Linked DNA regions of Callithrix jacchus. The protein of the gene in region 4 binds, or shares a complex with, the protein of the main gene of each other region. Links are inferred from orthologs where the notes say so. Each region holds a gene or a part of one and is shown on either strand. Other genes may lie near its edges. The genes, in order: SNRNP200, SNW1, SF3B5, RNF113A, ARMC7, CDC40 and DHX16.

Region 1 (3,500 bases), on a different chromosome or scaffold from region 4:
TGGAGGGGATCTAGAGGCCACTTAGGTAAAGAGAACAGTGCTTACATCCTTCCTGTTTCTTTTCTGGCAGCTTGTGAGACGCAGCTGCCTGTCTCTTTCCGGCACTTGATCCTGCCAGAGAAGTACCCACCTCCAACTGAACTTTTGGACCTGCAGCCCTTGCCTGTATCTGCTCTGAGAAACAGTGCCTTTGAGAGTCTTTACCAAGATAAATTTCCTTTCTTCAATCCCATCCAGACCCAGGGTGAGTATTTCCATCCCTCCTCTGGAGGCTTTTGAAGTCATTGGGAGACAGATGTGTTCTGTGGCACGCAGGGGAGTGGGGATCCTCAGGCACTTGGTAGGGCTGCAGGCAACTCAGTGTGACCACTGGGGCCCACCAGGACTTTTTCCTTTGTCAGAAGCCCTTGGTTGCCTTGCTGCTCTGCATTTGTCACTATGGAGGGGCAGTAGAGTAAGGCCTTACATGGCATGGTCATTTCTTGGGCACAGGAGGCTTAGAGGCCTGCCCCTGATGCTCAAGTATTGAACCGGAACCATGGGGTGGCACTGAGGCCTCCTCCCTCGCATCATGATAAATAACGGGAACATTCATAGAGCAGGCGCTGTGTTCTCAGTTTTTAGCTGAGTTCATCACCAGTGTTTTCTCTTTTATTCCCCCCACCAAGCCTAAAGGGAGTCATTATTTGAGAGACCGCCATTAGTGTTCCATTTTGTGTGTGTGTGTGTGAGACGGAGTCTTCCTCTTTCCCAGGCTAGAGTATAGTGGCATGGTCTTGGCTCACTGCAACCTCCGCCTCCTGGGTTCAAGAAATTCTCCTGCCTCAGCCTCCCAAGTAGCTGGGATTGTAGGTGCCTACTGCCACGCCCAGCTAATTTATGTACTTTTAGTAGAGACGGGGTTTCACCATGTTGGCCAGGCTGGTCTCGAATTCCTGACCTCAGGTGATCCACCCGCCTCAGCCTCCTAAAGTGCTGGGATTACAGGCGCGAGCCACCGCACCTGGCTAGTGTTCCATTTTATAGATAAGGAACTGAGGCATAGAGGGTGCCCCAGTTGAGTCAACTGATAAATAGTAGAACTTGGATTTTTATCCAGTCTTGATGACAGGGCTAAGGCTCTTACTTTCTACATTAGGCTACTTCCAGGAAATGCAGGAGAGTATTGAAGGGGCAGAGAAAGGGATCCAGTTCCTTTCTGTCCCGCATCCTAGTCCCTGAGAAGCAAAGAAGGATATGTGGCTTCTTTTGCTTTGCTTTAGTTGTCATCCCATGTGTCTCCAGGGGTCCTGGGCTCTTGATCTTGGCCTCTTCCCCTTTACCTAAGTGGGAGCAGGTGAGGGGGATACAGCAGGCCAGCCTGGAGTTAGAGGCTCAGATGCAATTCCTCCTCTACACTCCACAGCTCACTGACTTCATTTCTTATGTTGTCCTTTGCTTTGACAAGTGGTCCATGTTCCAATCTGTCTCTTCTCTCTTGACACTCACACTGCTTCTTTCTGTTGGTTTCCAGTGTTTAACACTGTGTACAACAGTGATGACAACGTGTTTGTGGGGGCCCCCACGGGCAGCGGGAAGACCATTTGTGCAGAGTTTGCTATCCTGCGGATGCTGTTGCAGAGCTCGGAGGGGCGCTGTGTGTACATCACCCCCATGGAGGCCCTGGCAGAGCAGGTGCGATGTGGTGCTGTGTCATGTGAATTTACCCAGCAGCATTTTATCTGTGATTCTATGTAAAGGCTTTCTAAGCCCTGAAATTTGCAGGGTCATTTCCCAGTTTGTGTATTCAAGCCACCGTGGAGGCTCATCCCTGTAAGGGAGGTGGATTGCCTGAGGTCAGGAGTTTGAGACCAGCCTGGCCAAAATGGTAAAACCTCATCCCTACTAAAAATACAAAAATTAGCCAGGCATGGTGGTGGGTGCCTGTAATCTCATCTACTCAGGAGGCTGAGGCAGGAGAATCACTTGAACCCAGGAGGTGGAAGTTACAGTGAGCCAAGATCATACCACTGCACTCCAGCCTGGATAACAAGAGCGAGACTTCGTCTCAAGAAAAAAATAAAAAGCTGCTCCATCACATAAAGGCTTCTGTGGGATTAGAATGTAGCTTGAGATTTGCAGGTCAACAGGTCTCCCTGTTTGGCATCTCAGGTTTTCCTCACATAAGTGAAAGAGGCCTGGCATGACCTGATGTTGTTCTGTCTCACTCCTCTGCCTGCCAGGTGTACATGGACTGGTATGAGAAGTTCCAGGACAGGCTCAATAAGAAGGTGGTGCTCCTGACGGGAGAGACCAGCACAGACCTGAAGCTGCTGGGCAAAGGCAACATCATCATCAGCACCCCTGAGAAGTGGGACATACTTTCCCGGCGATGGAAGCAGCGGAAGAACGTGCAGAACATCAACCTCTTCGTGGTGGATGAGGTCCACCTTATCGGGGGCGAGAATGGGGTATGGTGTGACCTTGCAGTACAGATGACGGGCTAGGACTAAGTGATCTTGGCATTGGGCCTTAATGTTTGGGTCTGAGGACGGAGGTTCAGGACTTCTCCCCAGAGGATTCTGCCTGCCACCCTGTTCCAAAAGTACAATGTGAACTTTTTTGGTAGTACTTTAGGAAAACAGTATTGTTTAATGGAGGTTGGCTGCTGTGGAGGAGCTAGAACCAATGATAGGAGGGCTCTAATTAGAAGGAAGAATGAGGTCATTTTGAGGCTGTTAGGCTGTTCACAGAGGGGACCTCCAGGCAGAGAATGGGAGCCTCGGCCTACAGTGACCTTCCCTCCCTCTTTCCAGCCTGTCTTAGAAGTGATCTGCTCCCGAATGCGCTACATCTCCTCCCAGATTGAGCGGCCTATTCGCATTGTGGCACTCAGCTCTTCGCTCTCCAATGCCAAGGATGTGGCCCACTGGCTGGGCTGCAGTGCCACCTCCACCTTCAACTTCCACCCCAATGTGCGTCCCGTCCCCTTGGAGCTGCACATCCAGGTAGGACCTGCTCTCCTCTTCCCTCTGTGGGGGCTCACAAAGATCCTCAGTGACCCAGGTCTGATAACCTTGGTGTCTTTTCTTCTCCCTGGTCTCCAGGGCTTCAATATCAGCCATACACAAACCCGCCTGCTCTCCATGGCCAAGCCTGTGTACCATGCTATCACCAAGCACTCGCCCAAGAAACCTGTCATTGTCTTTGTACCGTCTCGCAAGCAGACCCGCCTCACTGCCATTGACATCCTTACCACGTGTGCGGCAGACATCCAACGACAGAGGTGGGCAGGGCCTAGCTTCTGGGGTTTGGGGTTAGGTTAAGTGAGGCTGGCTCACTCCAAGAGTGTCCTTTTTATGAGGGTGGGGTTAGCCCATGTGGCTTCGGGCCAGGGTATGCACAGCTGGCAAGGTGTCTGCCAGGAATTGGGCCACTGTGAGCTGAGCCAGTGCTCGTGCCACACAGGTTCTTGCACTGCACTGAGAAGGATCTGATTCCATACCTGGAGAAGCTGAGTG
Region 2 (3,500 bases), on a different chromosome or scaffold from region 4:
GTTAAGAGAGAAAGAAGAGACAGGGTTAGATTTATAGTCTACAAAGTAATCTAAGTATAATCTTTATCGTCAAAGACAGCTCCATATACACTGACATATGCACATACACAGTGAAAGGCCAACAATCCATTTGTTTGCTAATACTAGTTTATTGTATCATTAATTCTATTAATAACTTTGAAGTACTGTGAAAAATGGAAAATAATCTAGAAATTATTTTTGACAGTTATAAATGGTGGCTAGTATTTTTCCATGACTTTTTTTTTTTTTTTTGAGATGCAATTACATTTTTGTTGCCCGGGCTGGAGTACGTCGGTGTGATCCTGGCTCATTGCAACCTCTGTCTCCCGGGTTCCAATGATTCTCCTGCCTCAGCCTCCCCAGTAGCTGAGATTACAGGCATATGCCACCACACCTGGCTAATTTGTGTGTGTGTGTGTGTGTGTGTGTTTTTCAGTAGAGACAGGGTTTCTCCATGTTGGTCAGGCTGGTCTCGAATTCCCAACCTCAGATAATCCACCTGCCTCTGCCTCCCAAAGTGCTGGGATTACAGGCGTGAGCCACTGTGCCCAGCCAATGTGACTTCTTTTGGATAAAAAACTGTTCTTTGGAGCAACAAAACATATCTTGAAAGTCGAATTATTAGAGAACTAATGGAATCGATATATTCACTTCCTGTAACATCTTTGTAAGTGAAACAGCAGACCCTATCCATTCCATTAAAAGTAGGATTTGGGTTACTAATAACAAAACTTATAGCTAACATGTTATATAAATTCTCATAAGCATTCTTGATACTTCATCTTATAAAATAAAAAAAGAAACTACAAGTCATGTGGTGACATGTACCTGTATAGGTATAGGGAAATTATCTATAAAATTAATAATCATGAGTAGAAAAAAAGATTTTAGACTATAATAAAGAATACCTTTCGGCTAGGAGAATGCATGACAGGTGCAGGAGGAGAAGGTGGTCCCCGGGGAATTTTCTTATTAATCCTGAAGTATAAATCAAAACACAACCAGAGAGTGATACAGTTTCCTCCCTTTTAGTCATCACATCAAGTCTCCCCTCCTTTTTTCTTGCATAAAAGTTTCAAACATAGACAAAAACAGAGACTGTATAATGATACGCACTTACCACTCCACTATGACAATGAATAAAATACGCCAACTTTGTCATCATTGTTACCCTACCTCCCAACATTATTGTCATTTTGCAGAGTAATATAACTTTTTTCATTTTAAAAAGCACCTTTATTGAGATAATTGACATTTAATTAACTGTACACATTTAAAGTATACAATTTGATTAGATTTTGACACAAATAAGCACCTGTGAAATCATCATCACAATCAAGACAGTGAACATACCTGTCATCCCCAGAAGTTTCTGCTTGCCCCTTGCCTATTCCTCTCCTCCCTCCCATCTCCTCTTTGTCCCTACCTCCTTCCCCAGAGGCAATCACTGATCTTTCATCACTACAGGTTAGTTTGCATTTCCTAGAGTTTTACATAAATGAAATCATATTGGAGGTACTTGTTTTTGCCTGGCTTCCTTCACTCAGCATAATTGTTTTGAGATTCATCCATGTTTTTATGTGTATTAGTAGCCTCCTCCTTTTTACTTACTTGAATCTTGGAGGCTCCATTGGATCTTTTTGCATTTCTACCATCCGAATAACCCTCTGTTTAGCTCCAGAGTTGAAAGCCACTCCTTGCTGAGATGGTGTGTATCTGAAGAAAGCAGATAAAAACTAAAGGTGTAACTAGTTCAAGCTTTCGGAAGGCATTTTCCTTCTGTTACAACATTTTCAATTCCTTTCGCAAAGTATTAATAGAAAATTAACAAAATATTTAGACAAAGCAGACAGCAAGAGAGATAAAATAACAGAAATTATGAGTTACAGACAAAATACAAATTTGAGTGGTATTAGTGTGCAGATAACCCCTCCTCATACATTTTCCAACATCGAAGATGCAGTATTCAGTTTCACAGATAAGCAGTTTAGGAAACAGTATCTATTTGGTATGCCTGCATCTGGGGTAAAAACACTCATAATAATCCCAGCAGGCAACTTACAGTTAGCAGTTTTTGATTAATCATAGGTTAAAAAACAGAGAAAAGAATAATAATAACAGCAGCCCTACGAGCTCTGAATTTTCCCTTAATATCTGTATGTGATTCATCTATCTATGCAAATATTCAGTCAAGTGAAATGCCTCAAAATTTAGAAGTATTATAAAGATATCTATTACCCATAAATGGAAAACTATAAATAATAATTGTGATTTAGGTCATATACTACAAGTGACTGTTAATTTCTAAGAACAAAAAATATATTTTGAAAATAGCATAGGGCTGGGCCAGTTGGCTCATGCCTGTAATCCCAGTACTTTGGGAGGCTGAAGTGGGCGGATCATCTGAGGTCGGGAATTTGAGACCAGCCTGGCTAAAATGGTAAAAACCGTCTCCACTAAAAATACAAAAATTAGCTGAGCATGGTGGTACATGCCTGCAATCACAGCCACTTGGAAGACTGAGGCAGGAGAATCACTTGAACCCAGGAGGCAGAGGTTGCAGTGAACCAAGACCATGCCACTGCACTCCAGCTTGGGTGACAGAGAGAGACTCTGTCTCAAAAAAAAAGAAAGAAAAAGAAAAACAGAAATATAGCATAGGCGGGCATGGTGGCTCACGCCTGTAATCCCAGAATTTTGGGAGGCTGAAGAGGGTGGACCATTTGAGGTCAGGAGTTTGAGATCAGCCTGGCCAACACAGTGAAACTATCTCTACTAAAAATACAAAAATTAGCTGGGCATGATGGCGGGCACCTGTAATCCTAGCTACTCGGGAGGCTGAGGCAGAAGAAGCTCTTGGGAGGCAGAGATTGCAGTGAGCCAAGAAGATCACACTATTGTACTCCAGCCTGGGCAACAGGGTAACAGAGCAAGACTCTGTCTCCAAAAAAAAAAAAGGCATAAAAAGAGGCCAAGTGTGGTGGCTCACATCTGTAATCTTAGCACTTTGGGATAACAAGGCAGGAGGATCGCTTGGGTCCAGGAGTTCGAGAACAGCCTGAGCATCAAGGTGAGACCTTGTCTCTACAAAACATTAAAATATTAGCCAGGTACGGTGGCATCAAGGCGGGAGGAGCACTTGAGCCCAGGAGGTCAGGCTGCAGTAAGCCGTGAGGGTGTCACTGCACTCCAGCCTGGGCAACAGAGTACTTATCTCAAATAAACAAACAAAAACCAAAGTGGACAACAAAAATTCTGCTTTCAATTGTCTGTAAAGAGAGTAGACAGGCTTCAAGTCATTATTCAAAACAATGCATTATAATAGTTGCTAAGTGGGTTAGTGACTCCCCAAGCTGAATCAAGTCCAAAATGAAACTAAGTCTTCTTGGCAAGACTCATACCGGATATACTGAGCAGGAGCCAGTTTGTCAGCTGCCCGAACTGGCATGGCTGCAGCAACCTTCTGTGATACAGATTTT
Region 3 (2,444 bases), on a different chromosome or scaffold from region 4:
CTTCTAACATTTGCTTGCTATGCCTACAGTGTTTGACCTTTCTCCACCACCAGCATTAATGTATACCCAAGAACATGGGAAAATGCCTGTCACATAGAGCTCAACAAATATTTGTTGAATGTAGAATGGATGAACTCGCTTGCCATCTTGTCATTTCTGGAGACATGGTTTCAAATTCCCAGGAAAAAGAAAGGATGTAATTTAAAGAGGCTAGGGAAAACAATGACAGCAAAGATTTTTAAAACAGAAGAAAAAGATGGGATACATTAACCGCAAACTTCAAAACTGAAGTCATTGTGAGACTGAAAATAAAGCTCTTGGAGGAAGTGGCAGTCGGGGAACACTATAAAGGTATACAGGCATATCTAAGTGCCTGGCCACAGACACTGGCATTCGCACCCTCACCCAAACCCATTTCCCACTCGGACTCTCGCGAACCTCGGTGCCTGGAGCTCTTTCCGGAGCCCTCCACCCTAACACAGGAAGTTCACACCAAGAGACTGAACGATTTCTAAACTTTATGGAAAAAGCCAATGACAATCAATTAGGCAAAAACGAGACGCCAAATCCCATCTCACTCCAGCGCCACGCCCTCTTCTCAGAGACTTGCCGGCTGCAGGACCTCTCCGCCAGCACAGTTCTCAGGGGTCCTGCTGGTCTCTCAATGCTGTCCCAAAGTGTCCACATGAAGGCGGGTCAGGAGGGACTTCCCCGGCAAGCACTTCTATACGCAGAAAGCGCGGGACGCAGGAGCCATGGAGAGAGCCGGTCCCTTGAAGGCAGGAATACTCGAGGGATTTGGCAAACGGGAGGAACGCTGGGAGAGGCGCCGCGCACGGCGTTGGTAAGGCAGTCTCAGTTCTCCTCGGGCTTGTCGGCTGGCGGTCCACAAGGCTGCAGCATCTTCTCCATCAAGTTGAAGCGGACTCGCGCTTTGCTCTCATTCTCCGCAATGGCGAAGTAGTTGAGAAGGTCGAAGTGGCCCATGTAGGAGCAGTACGAGTCGCGGTGTTGGTTCACCAGCCACTCCCACTTGGTGGTGTCGGCGTGGCCCGTGCCGATGTACTTGGACTGCAAGTGCTCCAGCTGGCTGTGGATGGTGTAGCGGTCCGTCATCTCGCCGCTTTCCCCTTCGCTCCGAGGTCAGAGGCCGCAGGAAACAAGTCACCGCTCTACCGTTTCAAGCGGGAGTGAGGACACCGCACAGCACCTCCGGGCCCACGCGGTCGCAGAAGAATGGCGTCACTGAGACTAAGTAGTGTAACTCTCGCTCATAGGGCTCAGAGGCGGAAGCGGAAGCGGAAGCACATCAGTCACGGAATTGGAGTTGCCGAGGTATGCGACGCTACAAGTGTGCCGCCCCTGTAGTGAGCCGTGCCCCTTCATAGAGCGTTGCATGATGGTCCGCTTAGTGGCTATGAGAGGCCCTTTTCAACCGGGAGCGTTGCATGCTGGGACTTGTGGTCTTGGTCTTTGGAGTTCGTGCACGCCAGCCTCCGGAACTTCTGGTCGCCTTTTAAAAGCGGTATGGGTGCCTAGTGGAGGGTGTTGTCTGCGAGGCGGGAAGCATCCGTGGTTGGCTTGGGGCTGATGGGAAATGGGAAACCCAAATAGGAGTGGACTACGAGCAACCCCGAAAATAAACTCTTATGTATTTCGGACCTATCGTGGCGGCACGGCAGTCCCTTCACTACCCGGGATGGATTACCCAGAAGTCAGTAGGCGCGAGTTCTGGTCCCAACTATGTCGCTTAGGAGTTTGTAGCATCAAAGAGTTATTTCAGCTCTAACCAGGGTGTTTGGTGAGCAAGTACAGTACCCATTTCCTCACATTCCGGCTCCACCTCAAGTTCCTCCTTCCTCTCTAGCCAGTTATTTTGATATCCTCCCTCCAATGCCTCACGGCACCCTACTTGGCCCTTCCATTCAGTGGGTTTTGTGAATTCAACCAACCCGACTGAAAATATTTGGGAAAAAAATTAGTGTGTACCGAAGTGTAGACTTTTAAAGGTTATTATACCCTAAACAATATAACAACCATTTACATAGTATTTACATTGTATTGGGTATTGTTAAATAATCTAGAGAAAAACTATACGGGAGGATGTGTGTATATGCAAATACAAGCCATTTTATATCAGGGACTTGAGTATCTTCTAGTTTTGGTATCCATGGAGTCCTGGAACCAATCACTCACAGATACTGAGGGACAACTGTACTTCTCCATGTTACCTGTTGTGCCCATTCCCCAGTTCCTTGTGCAAGCTGTTCCCTCTACTTGGAATGTCTGTTCCCTTGGTGAACGCATCTGCCTTAAAGGCAGCTCAAATGCATCTCCCTAGAATTTTCTCTGGCTGCTCCAGACAGATGTAAATTCTTCTTCCTCTTTGCAGATTATCCATCTCTTCCTTATTATTGCTTTATATCCTAATTTTTAGTTTAATA
Region 4 (2,968 bases):
ACATTTCAAGTGGTCAACAGCCACATGAGGCTAGTGTCTGTCTATCACACTGGATAGCAGAGCACAGATCACTTTTATCATCCATAGAAGGGGGGTTAACTATTGCTGCTTCCAAGACAGCAAGGAACATTTTCCATACGTGAAGTCTGTGGTACTAGCTACCAATCGCCCAAACCCAACCCCTCTCCCTCACACCTTGGCTCTGATATATTTTGTAGTACAGGCTCCTAAGAGAAAGAATGCATGAAAGTACCTGGTAAACATTACGTGATACAGAAATGTGATATAATAAACAGGCTCAGAGTTCTTGCTTTCATCATAGCTTTGGCTACTTCGAGCAAATTCTAGCTCTTTTCTCAAACTACTCCCATCTCTATAATTTATGCCAAAGTGTTCTAGGGCTAAAAATCCCGATTATACCTACCTTGAAGCTTTTAATCCAGGACCCTACTTCACCACCCGCCTTCTGTCACTTTCTCTAAAAGGACACGAATTAAGACTTCCAAAAGAACAAAATATTTATTTTTTAAATTTAAGAATTATGGGAAGCCTAAGTAATGGGAATTGGATCCTCATCGGGGTCTTCTGGGAAGTTGGAAGCACCACCCTCTCCTGTAGCACGATGCTTCTCTAGTTTAGCAATCAATTCTTTCGCTGGATTGAAGACGCCGTAGGTCTGCTGGTCACAGACAAAGCAGCGCGGGGTGGTACGGAAATGCTGCAGTGCACATCTCTCGCAGAAATAATGCCTGCACTTGGTGACAACTGGGTTTTGGAAGCTCTGGCGACAGATGAAACATTTGAATGGTATTTCCTCATCATCGCTTCCCACTTCATAGTTTTCATCCTCATAGACACCATAGCGACCCTCATCAAGCTCACGTTCGATCTGCCACCCATGCTTGTAATCTGAACGGTCATGGAGGAATTTGCAGCTGTCTCCGAAGCCGCAGAAGCCAGTCTCTTTGTAGTCCTTACAGATGTCGGGCTGGTAATCCCAGCGCACGGTGGCACGTAGATGCTCGGGCGCTCGGATGGGGCCCTTCCTCACCATCCCGGAAGAGGCATTGCCCATAGACGTATCCTTGGGCTTCATGTATTTCTGATAATTGTTGATTCCCCGATAGATCTTGTCATCCTCCTTGCCCCTCAGCTCCTCCTGGATCTTCTGGCTGCGCTCAAAGATGGCTTGTGCATCGCGCTCTTTCTCTGTGTCCAGCTCATAGACGGCTGTTGCCCCCATATCCTCTGGTCCCACGGGTTTCGCCGAGCGGGTGGATTTATAAACCACGCCGAGACTCTCGGGCTCATTTTCCACCTCCTCCTCGCTGCTCAAGTTGCCGTAAGCCGCCTTCTGTCTACCACTGTCACGGGTCTTCTGTATCATTGGATTGTGGGTCGTCCGCTTCTTTTCCGGTCGAATCACAGTGCAGCCTTCGTCGCTACTGCTGCTGCTTTCTCCAGGCTCTGGGTCGCAGGCCGGGCGCTTTCTGCGTCCAGCAGCCCCTTTCCGCCCAGGCTTTTTGAAAAGGAAGGTGCACACCTGATCCGCCGTTTTTCCTGGAGAAAGCTGCTCGGCCATTTTAGAGTCCCGAGCTCCGAAACGGCCGTGGCTGCCTGGGTAGCACTTGGCCTCCGCGCGTCACTCCACGTTGCGCGCTCCGCCGCTAGTCAAAGCAAAAGACTGTGGCGGAAGAAGACTGCGAGAACGCGAACGCTAGCCTCTCTTGAGCCCTGGAGGATTCCGTCGCTTCCTCCGGAGCCGTACGTGGCACCGCCCCGCTCGCTGGCGGCCGCGGGGCTTACTGGGAAGAGAGCCGGAGATCCGTCACCTTTCAAGGACTCAGAAGTAGGGTTTTGGTCTAGGTAACCGGGCAGAGATGTGGTTCGAGATACTCCCCGGACTCGCCGCCATGGGCGTGTGCTTGCTTATTCCAGGACTGTCTACTGCGTACATCCACAAGTTCACTAACGGCGGCAAGGTAAGGGGGCTTGAGGGCGCGGGGGCCGACTCCACGGGCTGATTTCCGAAAAGGGTGGGGGGCAGGGAGGCATCAGCTTGCGGACCCTCTCTCCGAGGTCGGCCTTCTCCTTTCTTAGGGTTGCCTAGAAGCTGAGGCTTGCGAAACGAAGGTTGGTAGAAAACACATCCTGCTCTAGTGAAAACCAGCGTTTTAGGGTGGATCAGAGTGGGCCTTAGGGCAGAGTAGCGACTCGGGGCCCGGAAAGGTAGATTAGAAGAGGTGGCTTAAGTCTGTAATCCAGCACTTTGCGAGGCCGAGGCGGGCGGATTACCTGAAGTCGGGAGATCAAGACCAGCCTGACCAACATGGTGAAACCCCGTCTCTACTAAAAATACAAAATCAGCCGGGTGTGGTGGCGCATGCCTGTAATCCTAGTTATTTGGGAGGCTGAGGCAGGAGAATTGCTTGAACCCGGGAGGTGGAGGTGGAGGTGAGCCGAGATCGCACCATTGCACTCCAGCCTGGGCAACAGTCACGAAACTCGTTTCGAAAAAAAAAAACCAGAGGTTCTCCTGCCTCAGCCTCCCGAGTAGCTGGGACTACAGGCGGGTGCCACCACGCCCGGCTAATTTTTATTTTTGTTTGTATTTTTAGTAGAGACGGGGTTTCATCATGTTGGCGAGGCTGGTCTCGAACTCCTGACCTCAGGTGATCCACCCATCATGACCTCCCAAAGTGCTGGGATTACAGATGTGAGCTCCTGGCCACCCATAACTTTTTTATTCTCCACTTTTTGTTGCAAGCCTTTAATAATTTACTGCAAGATCTTATTTTATTTTTATTATTTTATCTTTTTGTAGAGATGGGGTTTCTCCATGTTGGTCAGGCTGGTCTTGAACTCCTGACATCAGGGGATCTGCCTGCCTTGGCCTCCCAAAGTGCTGGGATTACAGGCAGGAGCTACCGTGCCCGGCCAAGATCTAGTTTTTTACATTGGGATTCAT
Region 5 (4,294 bases), on a different chromosome or scaffold from region 4:
CTAACTTGTTCACCATACCCCAGCATTTAGAACAGTAGCTTGCTTATACAGTACGTGCCCAATAAATATTGCCCAGTGAATCACTCAGTAGGTCTTAAGATCACAACTACAGAAGCTATAAGTTACAGATTGCCATCTCTACTTCTCTTGATATGAAAACACTAAATATGAGTTACTTTTATTTTTGAGACAGGATCTTGTTCTGTCACCCAGGCTAGAGTGCAGTGACCCAATCCTAGCTCACTGCAGCCTCAAGCTCCCAGGCTCAAGCAGTCCTCCCACCTCTGCCTCCTGAGTAGCTGTGACACCATGCCAGGTTAATTTTTTTTCTTTGAGACAGAGTTTCACTTTTGTTGCCCAGGCTGGAGCTGGAGTGCAATGGTGTGATCTTGGCTCACTGCAACCTCTACCTCTGGGGTTCAAGTGATTCTCCTGTCTCAGCCTCCAGAGTAGCTGAGATTACAGGTGCCCCCCGCCATGTCCAGCTAATTTTTGTGTTTTTAGTAGAGATGGGGGTTTCACAGTGTTGGCCAGGCTGGTCTCAAACTTCCGACCTCGTGATCTGCCCGCCTCAGCCTCCCAAAGTGCTGTGATTACAAGTGTGAGCCACCACAACCGGCCGACAGGCTAATTTTTGTAATTTTTTTTAATAGCAGAGACGGGATTTTGCCATGTTGCCCAGGCTGGCCTTGAACTCAGGGACTCAAGTTATCTGCCTGCTTCAGCCTCCCAGAGTGCTGAGATTACAGGTTTGAGCCACCTCTCCTGCCTGAAATTGTTGGGGATTTTTTTGGTTTTGTTTCCGTTTTTTTTTTCCAGATGGAGTCTCGTAGTTGCCCAGGCTGGAGAGCAGTGGTGCCATCTGGGCTCACTGCAACCTCCACCTACTGGGTTCAAGCGATTCTCCTGCCTCAGCCTCTCAAGTAGCTGGGATTACAGGTGCCCGCCACCATGCCCAGCTAACTTTTGTATTTTTAGTTACCTATAGGGTTTCATCATGTTGGCCAGGCTGGTCTCAAACTCCTGACCTCAGGTGATCTGTCCACCTCAGCTTCCCAAAGTGCTGGGATTACAGGTGTGAGCCACTGTGCCTGGTCAAAAAATTGCTTTTATTTTTTATTTTATTTTTTTGAAATGGAGTCTTGCTCCCATTGGGCAGGCTGGAGTGCAATGGCATGATCTCAGCTCACTGCAACCTCCACCTCCAGGGTTCAAGGCATTCTCCTTTTTCAGCCTCCCAAGTAGCTGGGATTACAGGATACGCCACTACGCCCAGCTAATTTTTGTATTTTTAGTAGAGACAGGGTTTCACCATGTTGGCCAGGCTACTGAACTCCTGAGCTCAGGTGATCCTCCAGCCTCAGCCTCCCAAAGTGCTAGGATAGGTGTGAGCCACTGTGCAGTGGCTGAAATTGCTCTTTTTAAGACATCTTTTTTTGGGCTGGGCATGGTGGCTCATGCCTGTAATCCCAGCACTTTGGGAAACCAAGGCAGGTGGATCACCTGAGCTCAGGAGTTCAAAGCCTCATCTCTTCTAAAAATACAAAAATTAGCCAGGCATGGTAGTGGGCACCTGTAATCCCAGCTACTCAGGAGGCTGAGATAGGAGAATCACTTGAACCTGGGAGGCGGAGGTTGCAGTGAGCCGAGATCTTGCCATTGCACTCCAGCCTGAGGAAAAAAAGTGAAACTGTCTCAAAACAAAACAAAACATCTTTTTTTTGAGACATGGTCTCGCTCTGTTGTCCAGGTTAGAGTGCAGTGGAGCAATCTCAGCTCACTTTGGCCTCTGCCTCCCAGACTCACGCAATCCTCCTGCTTCAGTCTCCATGGGCCTATAGGTGCACACAACTGTGAGCGGCTAAGTTCTGTATTTTTAGTAGAGACGGGATTTTGCCATGTTGCCCAGGCTGGTCTCAAACTCCTCAGCTCAAGTGATCCGTTTGCCTCAGCCTCCCAAAGTGCTGGGATTACAGGCGTGAGCCACCACGCCCGGCCCCAACGACTCACTTCTAACTCACCTATCTCACCCCGGCCCATTAGACCTTTAGGGAACCGACCCCGCCCTTACCAATAGCAAACTCCACGAGGGTCTCATTCTCCTCCGACAGCGAATCGAGAAATAAATCCAGGACCTGCAGCTGCCGCAGATACTCGTAGTTGTTGGGGTCATAAGCGAAGTTGGCGAGGTTGGCGAGGACTTGCTCCTTGGCGTCTGCAACGGGAAAGCGGCACTGGAGCCAGGTCCGAGCGGCGGTCACAGCAGACCCTGCCCCCCTGGCCCCACCGTGGCTCTCACCTTGGCTCTGGGTCTCCTGGAATTCCGTGACCAGCGCCTGCAGGAATCCCAGCCGCCCGACGTGAGGGTCCACCTTCGGCTTCTGGGCCATGGCCGGTGTGGCAGAGGACCCCCAGGGACGGACGGGAGGGTGGGAAAGGTGCAGGGGAAAGCCGAGCGAGACCTTCACCTGCCCTCCACCTGTGTGGAGAGGGAAGATGGGGGGCGGCAAACGGGTTTCTTTCTAGAGTTCAGATTCTACAGTAATTTGCCGCTGAAAATGGGACGTGGGAGATGGGGCGTGGTCTCAGAATCCTGTGGGAGTTGGGTTTGAAAATCGAAATTGGGGCGCGGGCGACGAGGAACAGTCTACGAGTTGGGGCTTGCAGAGGGGGCACCAGCGCCGTGTGCCGGGTGCCGGGTGCCGGATCCCGGATCCCGGGTCCCGGATCCCGGATCCCGGATCCCGGATCCCGGGATCTGTTCCGAGCTCCCAGCGGAAGCCGCGCTGTCTCCGCCCTTAATATAGCGGAAGGAGCGGGCACGAGGAGGAAAGGGCGGGACAGGGGCGGGGCCGTCGACGAACTCCTTGGCGCACGTACTCCGCGCGGTTACGTTTTTTCTGGATGCGGAAGCCCTTCAGCCTGGGCTGCAGCCCGCTGCTAGCGGATTCCCTGAGACAGGTGCGGGCGTGGGTGGGTTTACTGCGAGGAGCAGCCTGGTTTCCCTTATCTCGTTTCCAGCTGCAAATTACTGCAAAATCTGAACGCAAGAAAGAAACCCACTTGCTGCCCCGGCCGATAGGAGGGCGGGTTAGGGCCTCGCTCGGCTTTCCCGCCCCACCTTTCCCACTCTCCCGCCCATTCCCCGGGGCCCTCAGCCGCCCCGACGTGGCCCAGAAGGTAAGACGCCCACGTCAGGCGGCTGGATTTCCGCGAGGAGCAGCGGAGTCTGCCAGAACCCATGTGGCAGGACGTCGAGGGAGAAGCACCTCCAGGACCCCCACGGCTGGCGGGGGCGTGGCCCAGCCTCCTTGACCCGGACGGCCCTTCGGAGCGCGGGCGTCAGCTCTCTGTGCCCCCCATCGGTCCTTTGCCCCTTTTGCAAAAAGCCTGGCGACCCCGATACGCCCTCCATCCCAGCCCGAGGTGGGTCCGCCACCTCTGGACAGAAATCAAGGGGACTGGCTTATGTCCTGGGGCTTTTCGTCAGTCGGGTGGACGGCGCGCGCCCGGGGAAGCACCGGGGAGCCGGAGGAGGAGCCTTGGATGTGGCCCTTTCAGGGCTTTCTGGATGCTGAAGCCCTTCGGCCGGTTCCCTGTCGGGGATTCTCAGGAAGCAGGTGTGTGCTGCATTAACTCGTGGTCACAGGGAACAAAGCACCAGGGAAGGAGGTGGCCTTGCCACTCTCCGATCGTGTTTGACAATGTGGTATAGGTGGCTTAGGCTGTGCATGTCCTGAGAGTACAAAAGTGGAGTCACTTGCGTTAAAAAACAAACAAGGCCGGGAGCAGTGGCTCACGCCTGTAATTCCTGCACTTTGGGAGGCCGAGGCGGGTGGATCACGAAGTCAAGAAATCGAGACCATCCTGGTCAACATGGTGAAACCCCGTCTCTACTAAAAATACAAAAAATTAGCTGGGCATGGTGGCTCGTGCCTGTAATCCCAGCTACTCAGGAGGCTGAGGCAGGAGAATTGCCTGAACCCAGGAGGCGGAGGTTGCGGTGAGCCAAGATCGCGCCATTGCATTCCAGCCTGGGTAACAAGAGCCAAACTCCCGTCTCAAAAAAACAAAACAAAAGAAAAAAACCAACAAAATCCCGACAGAGTTCAAGAAATCCAGGACGAGAGAGTTCTCATGCATAAATATCTGATAAAACTATCACAAAGACTGCAAAAACCACCACGTTGCACAAAGGCCATCACAAACTTGCACAAAACCACTTCTGCACGGCCATCTGCCCAGCAACTGCCTGTCCAACTTTGAACTGGTCACCCTTGTTATGAATCCTTCT
Region 6 (3,500 bases), on a different chromosome or scaffold from region 4:
AATTAACCAAACAGATTTAACCAAAGAACTAGCTTTGCAGCACTCCCACTCTGTTACTGAAAACTCACCTTAATTTTACAGTCCATGGAACAAGACAGCAATAAATGGCCAGAGAGAGGAAACAATCTGACTGCACTGACGCCCTGTAAAAAGGTATTAAAGTTATCAACCAGAAGCATTCTAAAGAGCAGCTAAAATTAAGCATCAAGAGAAGACAGTAGATATTAAGCAGCTTAATTTGCTATTTGTCTTCATTCCAAAAATCACAACTTAGAATAACCTTCATTAGCATTCCAAGAGCAGGCCTTATTGACGCTAAGCTTTTGAAGATTTTTTTTTTTTTTAACCTTTAATATTGAGTTCCTCACCCAAAGGAATCCTGAGTCAATCAAATTGCTAATGCCCTGACTTGTTTTCCTTTTTTAACTTAGTCCCTTTGCTCTTTGCAAAGAGTTGGAAATTACCAGTTGGAATAGTGCAGATGATGAAGAATACCAACATCAAAACTTTTCATGTACCTTGTCTCTGCATTAGTTTAAAAATTACCATAGTTTATAAACCAGGGCACATCTAATCTCTGAAGTGTGATAACCACAAGAGCTAAAGCAAAATTACTGAAGCTAAGCAGGAGACTTGGTGCTAATACTAGCCCATTACTCACTGATTTGGTGCCCAAAAGGAAGACTGTAGCAGGAGCTTGTGGGGAAAGGCCTGGGCTGCAAGGATACAGGGCACTGAACCATGCATGCTATGGCCTTGAAGACTGATTAGTCACTTGTAATGGATGTGTGGGCACCTCCAAAGCCTAGAATGCAGCTTACATTCAAATTAATTTCCCTACACATTTACCAGAAATACTAAATGTTCCACATCAATAGCTGAAACTTTACCTTGGCTTCATTATTATAACATTACAGCAAACACACACACCAACTTGCTTACTTTTGTGTGTCCAGACCACACATGAATTTGTTTTTTGGGAAGATAACACTTCTCAGGCGGCATAGTTGACCGCAGATTAACACCAACGTCCTGAGGTATGTGAAGATAGGATCTGCCCTGATAGTCATACATTTCTTTAACTGAAACAAAAAGGCAAAGAAAATCGATAAACAAATACAAGCTACAGTCATGAAATCTCTATCTTAAAATAATATTTTATTCACAGGAATAGCATTTTGTATTAAGGTTAAGTAATAACACTCCAATGATGTCAAGATCAAGAGTCAGCTAAGATTTAAGTGCTTTAAATAACTGCTATCATTTACAACTAGAGGTAGTATTTTGAAATTCCTAAATACCCAGAGATTATAGACCTTGAGATAAGATCTATACTTCTTTTCATCAGTTACACATCTTAGTGACTTATCTTCACTGTAGCATAATTATAGCAAAGGAAGAAAAGACAATACTGGGGCCTTGTCAGTCATTGGTAAAGAAGCAGAAGTAAAACAGGTTAAGAAGAAATTTAAAACAAACAACAAAAAAAATCAACTATCCTTTTCCCCTGCTTTCCTCTTTATGCCCTTCCAGTTCCTTTTCATCTATCTTTTCCTGCTTTCATCACAAATTTTACAATAAAGTCACCTATGGGAATTACATGACATAGTATATATAAAGTAATTAGCAGCATGGCTGGCACAGAGTAAGTACTCAATAAATGTTATTTTTATATTGTTGTTATTATAGTTGTAAGTACCATAATACTGAATAGACTCCTTAGACATAAAATGGAAGCTTGAAAAACCAAATATGGCTTCATCAAACCTAAATATCTGATGTAATAGTAACATTAGAATAAGCAACACTATAAGTACTAAGTTATTCTTTACAGTTTTAGATAATCATTATGTAATTTCCTAAATATAACTAATTATTAATGAACAGGTATGTTCTAGAATACTTACGCATTTCCTTCTACAAGTCAAAATAAGTATGAGAGGCTTAATCTCCATCTTTTCACATGAAAATCCAAGTTTATTCTTTCTGAGTATAGTTTAGTAAACGGTTATGAACTGTGAGGATACCTGAGTATTTGACTTTGTTAAAAACAATTAAAACGACTGGGGCACTATTAATATACCAAAAGAGTCAACTTTATCTTATGAAAGAATAGACCGTAGACTATTCCAAGTTTCTTTTTTATCTATCATTTAATAACATTCATTGACACTTGAAAAAAAATTATCTGTGGCTATCATTAATCATGCTATTTTTTTCTCCTTTATCAGTATACAGAAGTCTGCTATAATTTCCCTGGGATACAAATTGTCCAACACAATTACGCTCAACATAATGATTTTTTTAACAGCTGATAGTAAGGAGCTTTTTCATAAAAATGAAGATGTATAAAAAATGTAATACCATGTAAGATTGTCTTCTCCTCCCCAGGTTTCTCTTCTTCCTGTTTTCCTTTTTTCTGCCTCTTTGCTGTGATTTCATCCAATTCTTTTTGTTCTTCCTAAGAAAATTAAGGAGTAAAATTTAAAATGAATGTTTTAGAACCTCATTATGCCTAAAGATGGTTATAAATTCTTTATAATGAGGTCTACAAATTTGGTCCAAGTATGTTCCCAGAATAACAAGCTCAACTCCTTTTTTTCTGAGATGGAGTCTTGCTTTGTCACCCAGGCTGGAGTGCACTGGTGTGAGTCTTGGCTCACTGCAACCTCCCTCTTCTGGGTTCAAGTGATTCTCCTACCTCAGCCTCCCGAGTAGCTGGGACTACAAAGCATGCACCACCGTGCCCGGCTAATTTTTTCTATTTTAGCAGAGACAGGGTTTCACTGTGTTGCCCAGGCTGGTCTTGAACTCTTGAGCTCTGGCAATCTGCCCACCTCGGCCTCCCAAAGTGCTAGGATTACGAGCATTGAGCCACCACGCCAGGCCAAGCTCGACTCTTCTATACGCAGAGATTGAGTACCTTTTCTACAAATTACAAAATGGTACTAAATACATAACGGATACTAGAAAATACTTTTCGACTATATAAAATCAGTTTTCAAAACTCATCCTTCTGTGACACCTGGAAATAAATTTTAACATGTTATACTAGTTATGCAAGTAAAAAGACAAGGCAATCAGAAAATCTAGTTCCAGAATGGACACTGAATTTTAGCACAAGATGTTGTTTTTCAGTTAATGATTTTTACCCAGTCCTAGGATGTAAGTGATGACTACACCTCTGTGACACAACTTTTTTAAGGAGCTGGGGACAGAAGATGGGGTAGCAGTAAATCTGTATCCATAAAAACAAAGAAATCAACAGATAAAATCTAAAATAAATAAAAAACAGTAGCATACATTTACTCATCTTAGATGTCACCTGTTTACTCCTATCGTTATAAATATAGATTTACTATATAAGTAACAGCTAGAATATAAGCTTCATAAGGAAAGGATTTTCTTGATCTTGTTCAATGCTGTAGGCCTGGGACTAGAACACTCTCTGGCTCATAGAGACAGTGAGGAGGTGAGGAAGGGAAGGGCAGAGCATTTAC
Region 7 (3,500 bases), on a different chromosome or scaffold from region 4:
AGGAGTTTAAGACCAGCCAGGCCAACCTGGCAAAACCCCATCTCTCCAAAAAATACAAAAAATGAGCAGGGCATGGTGGCATGTACCTGTAATCCCAGCTACTTGGGATACTGAGGCAGGAGAATTGCTTGAACCTGGGAGACAGAGGTTGCAGTGAGCAGAGGTCATGTCATTGCACTCCAGCCTGGGCGATAGAGCCAGACTCCATCTCAAAAAAAAAAAAAAAAGTATTAGCTGGATGTGGTGGTACGCACCTGTAATCCCAGCTACTTGGGAGGCTGAGGCACAAGAATCACTTGAGCCTGGGAGGCAGAGGCTGCAGTGAGCCAAGATCTTGCCACTGCACTCCAGACTGGGTGACAGAGCAAGACTCTGTCTATAAACAATAAATAAATAAGTCCAAGCTCTCCTGTCATCAAAGGCCCTCCCTAATCTTAGCCCCAAATTGTTTTTAGCCTTATCTCCTACTCCTGTACCGCATGAACCTCCCACTAAGCCTACTAGCTGACGTTCTCACCTCAGACGCACCTTGGGCCTTCCACTGATAACTTCTCAGCCATTTTTCTTTTTTGAGACAGAGTCTCACTCTATCGCCCAGGCTGGAACGCAGAGGCACAATCTCAGCTCACTGCAACCTCCGCCTCCCAGGCTCAAGCGATTCTCCTGCCTCAGCCTCCCAAGTAGCTGGGATTACAGGCACCCTCTACCATGCCTGGCTAATTTTTGTATTTTTAGTTGAGACAGGGTTTCACCATGTTGGCAAGGCTGGTTTAGAACTACTGACCTCAAGTGATCCACCTGCCTTGGCCTCCCAAAGTGCTGGGATTACAGACGTGAGCTACTGCACCCAACCTCAGCCATTTCTCTTAAAGGTCCATATCAAATCCCACCTCCTGGCCCATCAAGGACTTCCTATCTCCACTGAATCTACTGTGCTTACTTTGCAGATCACGTATTTGGCTCTCTCTTGGTTCATACGGTATTTCTCCTCTCTCTTCAGCCCCAGGGGTGAGAGAATGGCTCCTCAGCTATGTCTGCAGCAGTGCCCAGGACTCCCCTTGCATGGGGCAGGCACACACCTTTTTCACTACTGTTGTGTGAAGCATAGGTGTGAAGAGTGTGGGTTTCTCCAACTGACCTTTCGTGCCCCAGGTGGTGTGGGCTGGAAGATACGGGCCTGCATGTCGGAGGGCAGGTTGGCATAAATGGGCAGCACCAGGAGCTCCCGGATTTTGGAGCCCAGGCGGCGGCAGCGATCCTGGAGCATCTCACAGGCAGCCTCAATCTCTTCCTGGATAGAGAGTGGGGAGAGCAGCAAGGGTCCCAGGGTCACAGAAGACCAACATGCCAGCCTAGTCCTCCCCTGGGATACATTACCCCCTCTCCCAACCATATCAGGCACCTGTCCTGTCAGGAACACCAGGATATCCCCAGGGGGCTGGGTCACATGGATCTGCAACACAGATACGACACAAGCTTCCAAGTAGTCAGCCTCTGGAGCCTGGAGAGCAGAAAGAGATGGGGTCACAGGAGGGCCACCTGCTTAGGCAAATCGTTCCTCTCCTCCCAACTCAACATACACTTCATCCTAGTTCCCCTTTGGACTTTCCATTCCATCTTTCCCTCCTTGGGATAACCTCCTCCAAAGTCCCCAGCTTTTCCGCTACACACTTAAGCCCATCCTTCCTGAGGGGGCACCTTGGTATAGAAGATGTCCACAGGAAACCTGCGTCCAGGGATTCGAAACACAGGGGCGTCATCAAAGAAGGTGGAGAAACGGGCAGTGTCCAACGTGGCTGAAGCCACCAGGACCTTGAGCTCAGGTCGGAAGCGAGCAACATCCTTGATCAATCCAAAGAGAATGTCTGTGTGTAGGGTCCGTTCGTGTGCCTCATCCACCATCACCACGCTGAAGAGGTAATAGGGGAGCAATGAGGGAGGAGCGCTGGGTTATGCGTTATCAGACACCAGGGTTCCCTGGATGAGAGGGGAGTAATGGACACAAAGAGCTCAAGAATGACTGTTGAGGGAGGGGGCTCTAAGGAGACGCCACCATCCCAGTTACGTAAGACCAACAGAAAGTCAGAGAAGGCACAGCCCCGTGATCTGCAATCTATTCCAGCCTCAGCAGACAATAGGAGCCAAGATGTAGAGGCTGCACACTGACCCAGGACAAGTCAGACATGCCCTCTAGTTCAGTCAAGGGTCTGCTTAGACTCAGCAGCTCTTACTAGAAAAAGTGGAAGGATATGTTTTAAAGGAAAAAAAAAAAAAAAGTGGAGGGCAGGGTCCCCTTCAGTAAGAGGAGGCCACCAAGGCTGGCTGGGGATAATAGACCAGAGCTGCTGTGATTCAGACAGCCCAGAAGCTCCTGGTTTCCTGTGGAACAACTGCCTCTGGCATCCTTCCTGGCTCTGTTTCTTCTTTAGGAAAGAGGAACAAGTTAAGCCTTTCAACCCCAACTCTCAGAGGACTCTGCACATCCCTTGGTTTCCCCCAACTCAGTTAGGTACATGACACCTTCTTTCTCTTTGCTTTATTCTTTGGCTTTTCTGGGTGGCAGCCAAATCCCAGGGACTCATTCCCATCTTCCCCTACCCACCTTCCCAACCTCAACTCTGTGCCTAACCCTAACTGTGATGGTAAAGTCCCCAGCCATTCCACAAAGCACACTGGCTCGATGGGCAAAAACATCTGCATCAGACACTCTTGCACTGGCTGGCTCTCCATGGGTTCTCAGAGATTTTTTGCAAGGGATATGAAGTATCAAGTTCTATCTGTCCAATTGCTCCACTGTGATCTTCCAGGGCCAGAAATTCACAGCCTCTGAAGAGTTGAAAAGGCACATATTGTTCAGCTGGCCTGATCCCACCCCCAATCTCATTCATGAATCCCTTTTCCCCCTCAACACATGCTAAACCAACCCCTGGTTGGCCATTTCCAGCACTAAGAGCTCATTATTCACAGACCAAGCTACCCAAGACTTGTGTGGAGGACCAAGCCCCAGGGTCCAACCACTCTGACAAGCCCTGCAATCTGAGGGTGACTCAGCCATTTTGGTATGGAGCTGGAATCTGTCTCCCTGTAACCTCCCCATGGTTCCTAGCTATGTCCTGTAGGGTCACATAAAACAAGTCTGATCCTTTCTTCCATGTAACAGCTTTCACATATTTAGAAGAACCAGGATGCTTCCCCTGTTTCTCCCTCTGAGTTGAGCAACCCAAGTGTTTTCAAATGTTCTTCGCACAGCATTTTAGTCTCTGCAGCAATGCTCCTCTATTCTGATTGTTTTCTAAACCTTGGAGATGAGTAGGGACGGAAAAAGAGGTTTCTCTACAATCTCTTCTATCCTACAGCCCCATCTCCATGGTATCTGGAGGTCAGTTCAAGGACCATTTGAACCATAAAGGTTCAAGAACTGGTGGATTAATCAGAAGACAATGGCTGATTGGCTAGGTGGGAAAGGAGAGAAAGGCCAGAGATTAGAGATCCGGGAAAGC

Evidence for each region.
Region 1: RNF113A (region 4) and SNRNP200 share a complex: the UniProt entries of both Homo sapiens proteins name them as parts of the minor spliceosome. The link is inferred for Callithrix jacchus from reciprocal best matches to the Homo sapiens genes RNF113A and SNRNP200.
Region 2: RNF113A (region 4) and SNW1 share a complex: the UniProt entries of both Homo sapiens proteins name them as parts of the minor spliceosome. The link is inferred for Callithrix jacchus from reciprocal best matches to the Homo sapiens genes RNF113A and SNW1.
Region 3: RNF113A (region 4) and SF3B5 share a complex: the UniProt entries of both Homo sapiens proteins name them as parts of the minor spliceosome. The link is inferred for Callithrix jacchus from reciprocal best matches to the Homo sapiens genes RNF113A and SF3B5.
Region 5: RNF113A (region 4) and ARMC7 share a complex: the UniProt entries of both Homo sapiens proteins name them as parts of the minor spliceosome. The link is inferred for Callithrix jacchus from reciprocal best matches to the Homo sapiens genes RNF113A and ARMC7.
Region 6: RNF113A (region 4) and CDC40 share a complex: the UniProt entries of both Homo sapiens proteins name them as parts of the pre-catalytic and catalytic spliceosome complex. The link is inferred for Callithrix jacchus from reciprocal best matches to the Homo sapiens genes RNF113A and CDC40.
Region 7: RNF113A (region 4) and DHX16 share a complex: the UniProt entries of both Homo sapiens proteins name them as parts of the minor spliceosome. The link is inferred for Callithrix jacchus from reciprocal best matches to the Homo sapiens genes RNF113A and DHX16.

The regions. Positions count from the first base shown.
Region 1 is NC_133515.1:6,128,603-6,132,102, reverse strand, and holds part of SNRNP200 (U5 small nuclear ribonucleoprotein 200 kDa helicase), read left to right. Parts: intron 1-70; coding exon 71-244; intron 245-1,513; coding exon 1,514-1,674; intron 1,675-2,222; coding exon 2,223-2,450; intron 2,451-2,795; coding exon 2,796-2,987; intron 2,988-3,086; coding exon 3,087-3,265; intron 3,266-3,447; coding exon 3,448-3,500. UniProt on the Homo sapiens protein: Catalyzes the ATP-dependent unwinding of U4/U6 RNA duplices, an essential step in the assembly of a catalytically active spliceosome. Plays a role in pre-mRNA splicing as a core component of precatalytic, catalytic and postcatalytic spliceosomal complexes.
Region 2 is NC_133509.1:112,693,042-112,696,541, forward strand, and holds part of SNW1 (SNW domain-containing protein 1), read right to left. Parts: coding exon 3,423-3,500; intron 1,738-3,422; coding exon 1,633-1,737; intron 1,000-1,632; coding exon 930-999; intron 1-929. UniProt on the Homo sapiens protein: Involved in pre-mRNA splicing as component of the spliceosome. As a component of the minor spliceosome, involved in the splicing of U12-type introns in pre-mRNAs.
Region 3 is NC_133505.1:150,851,934-150,854,377, forward strand, and holds SF3B5 (splicing factor 3B subunit 5), read right to left. Parts: upstream 1,237-2,444; 5' UTR 1,117-1,236; coding exon 856-1,116; 3' UTR 501-855; downstream 1-500. Other genes in the region: uncharacterized protein LOC118153004, read left to right, coding at 1,237-1,335. UniProt on the Homo sapiens protein: Component of the 17S U2 SnRNP complex of the spliceosome, a large ribonucleoprotein complex that removes introns from transcribed pre-mRNAs.
Region 4 is NC_133524.1:115,851,741-115,854,708, forward strand, and holds RNF113A (E3 ubiquitin-protein ligase RNF113A), read right to left. Parts: upstream 1,684-2,968; 5' UTR 1,583-1,683; coding exon 551-1,582; 3' UTR 501-550; downstream 1-500. Other genes in the region: NDUFA1 (NADH dehydrogenase [ubiquinone] 1 alpha subcomplex subunit 1), read left to right, coding at 1,881-1,982. UniProt on the Homo sapiens protein: Required for pre-mRNA splicing as component of the spliceosome. As a component of the minor spliceosome, involved in the splicing of U12-type introns in pre-mRNAs. E3 ubiquitin-protein ligase that catalyzes the transfer of ubiquitin onto target proteins.
Region 5 is NC_133506.1:131,032,995-131,037,288, reverse strand, and holds the start of ARMC7 (armadillo repeat-containing protein 7), read right to left. Parts: upstream 2,801-4,294; 5' UTR 2,391-2,800; coding exon 2,300-2,390; intron 2,216-2,299; coding exon 2,072-2,215; intron 1-2,071. UniProt on the Homo sapiens protein: As a component of the minor spliceosome, involved in the splicing of U12-type introns in pre-mRNAs.
Region 6 is NC_133505.1:116,374,140-116,377,639, reverse strand, and holds part of CDC40 (pre-mRNA-processing factor 17), read right to left. Parts: intron 2,462-3,500; coding exon 2,365-2,461; intron 1,083-2,364; coding exon 943-1,082; intron 144-942; coding exon 69-143; intron 1-68. UniProt on the Homo sapiens protein: Required for pre-mRNA splicing as component of the activated spliceosome. Plays an important role in embryonic brain development; this function does not require proline isomerization.
Region 7 is NC_133505.1:35,454,728-35,458,227, forward strand, and holds part of DHX16 (pre-mRNA-splicing factor ATP-dependent RNA helicase DHX16), read right to left. Parts: intron 1,910-3,500; coding exon 1,699-1,909; intron 1,502-1,698; coding exon 1,403-1,501; intron 1,292-1,402; coding exon 1,139-1,291; intron 1-1,138. UniProt on the Homo sapiens protein: Required for pre-mRNA splicing as a component of the spliceosome. Contributes to pre-mRNA splicing after spliceosome formation and prior to the first transesterification reaction.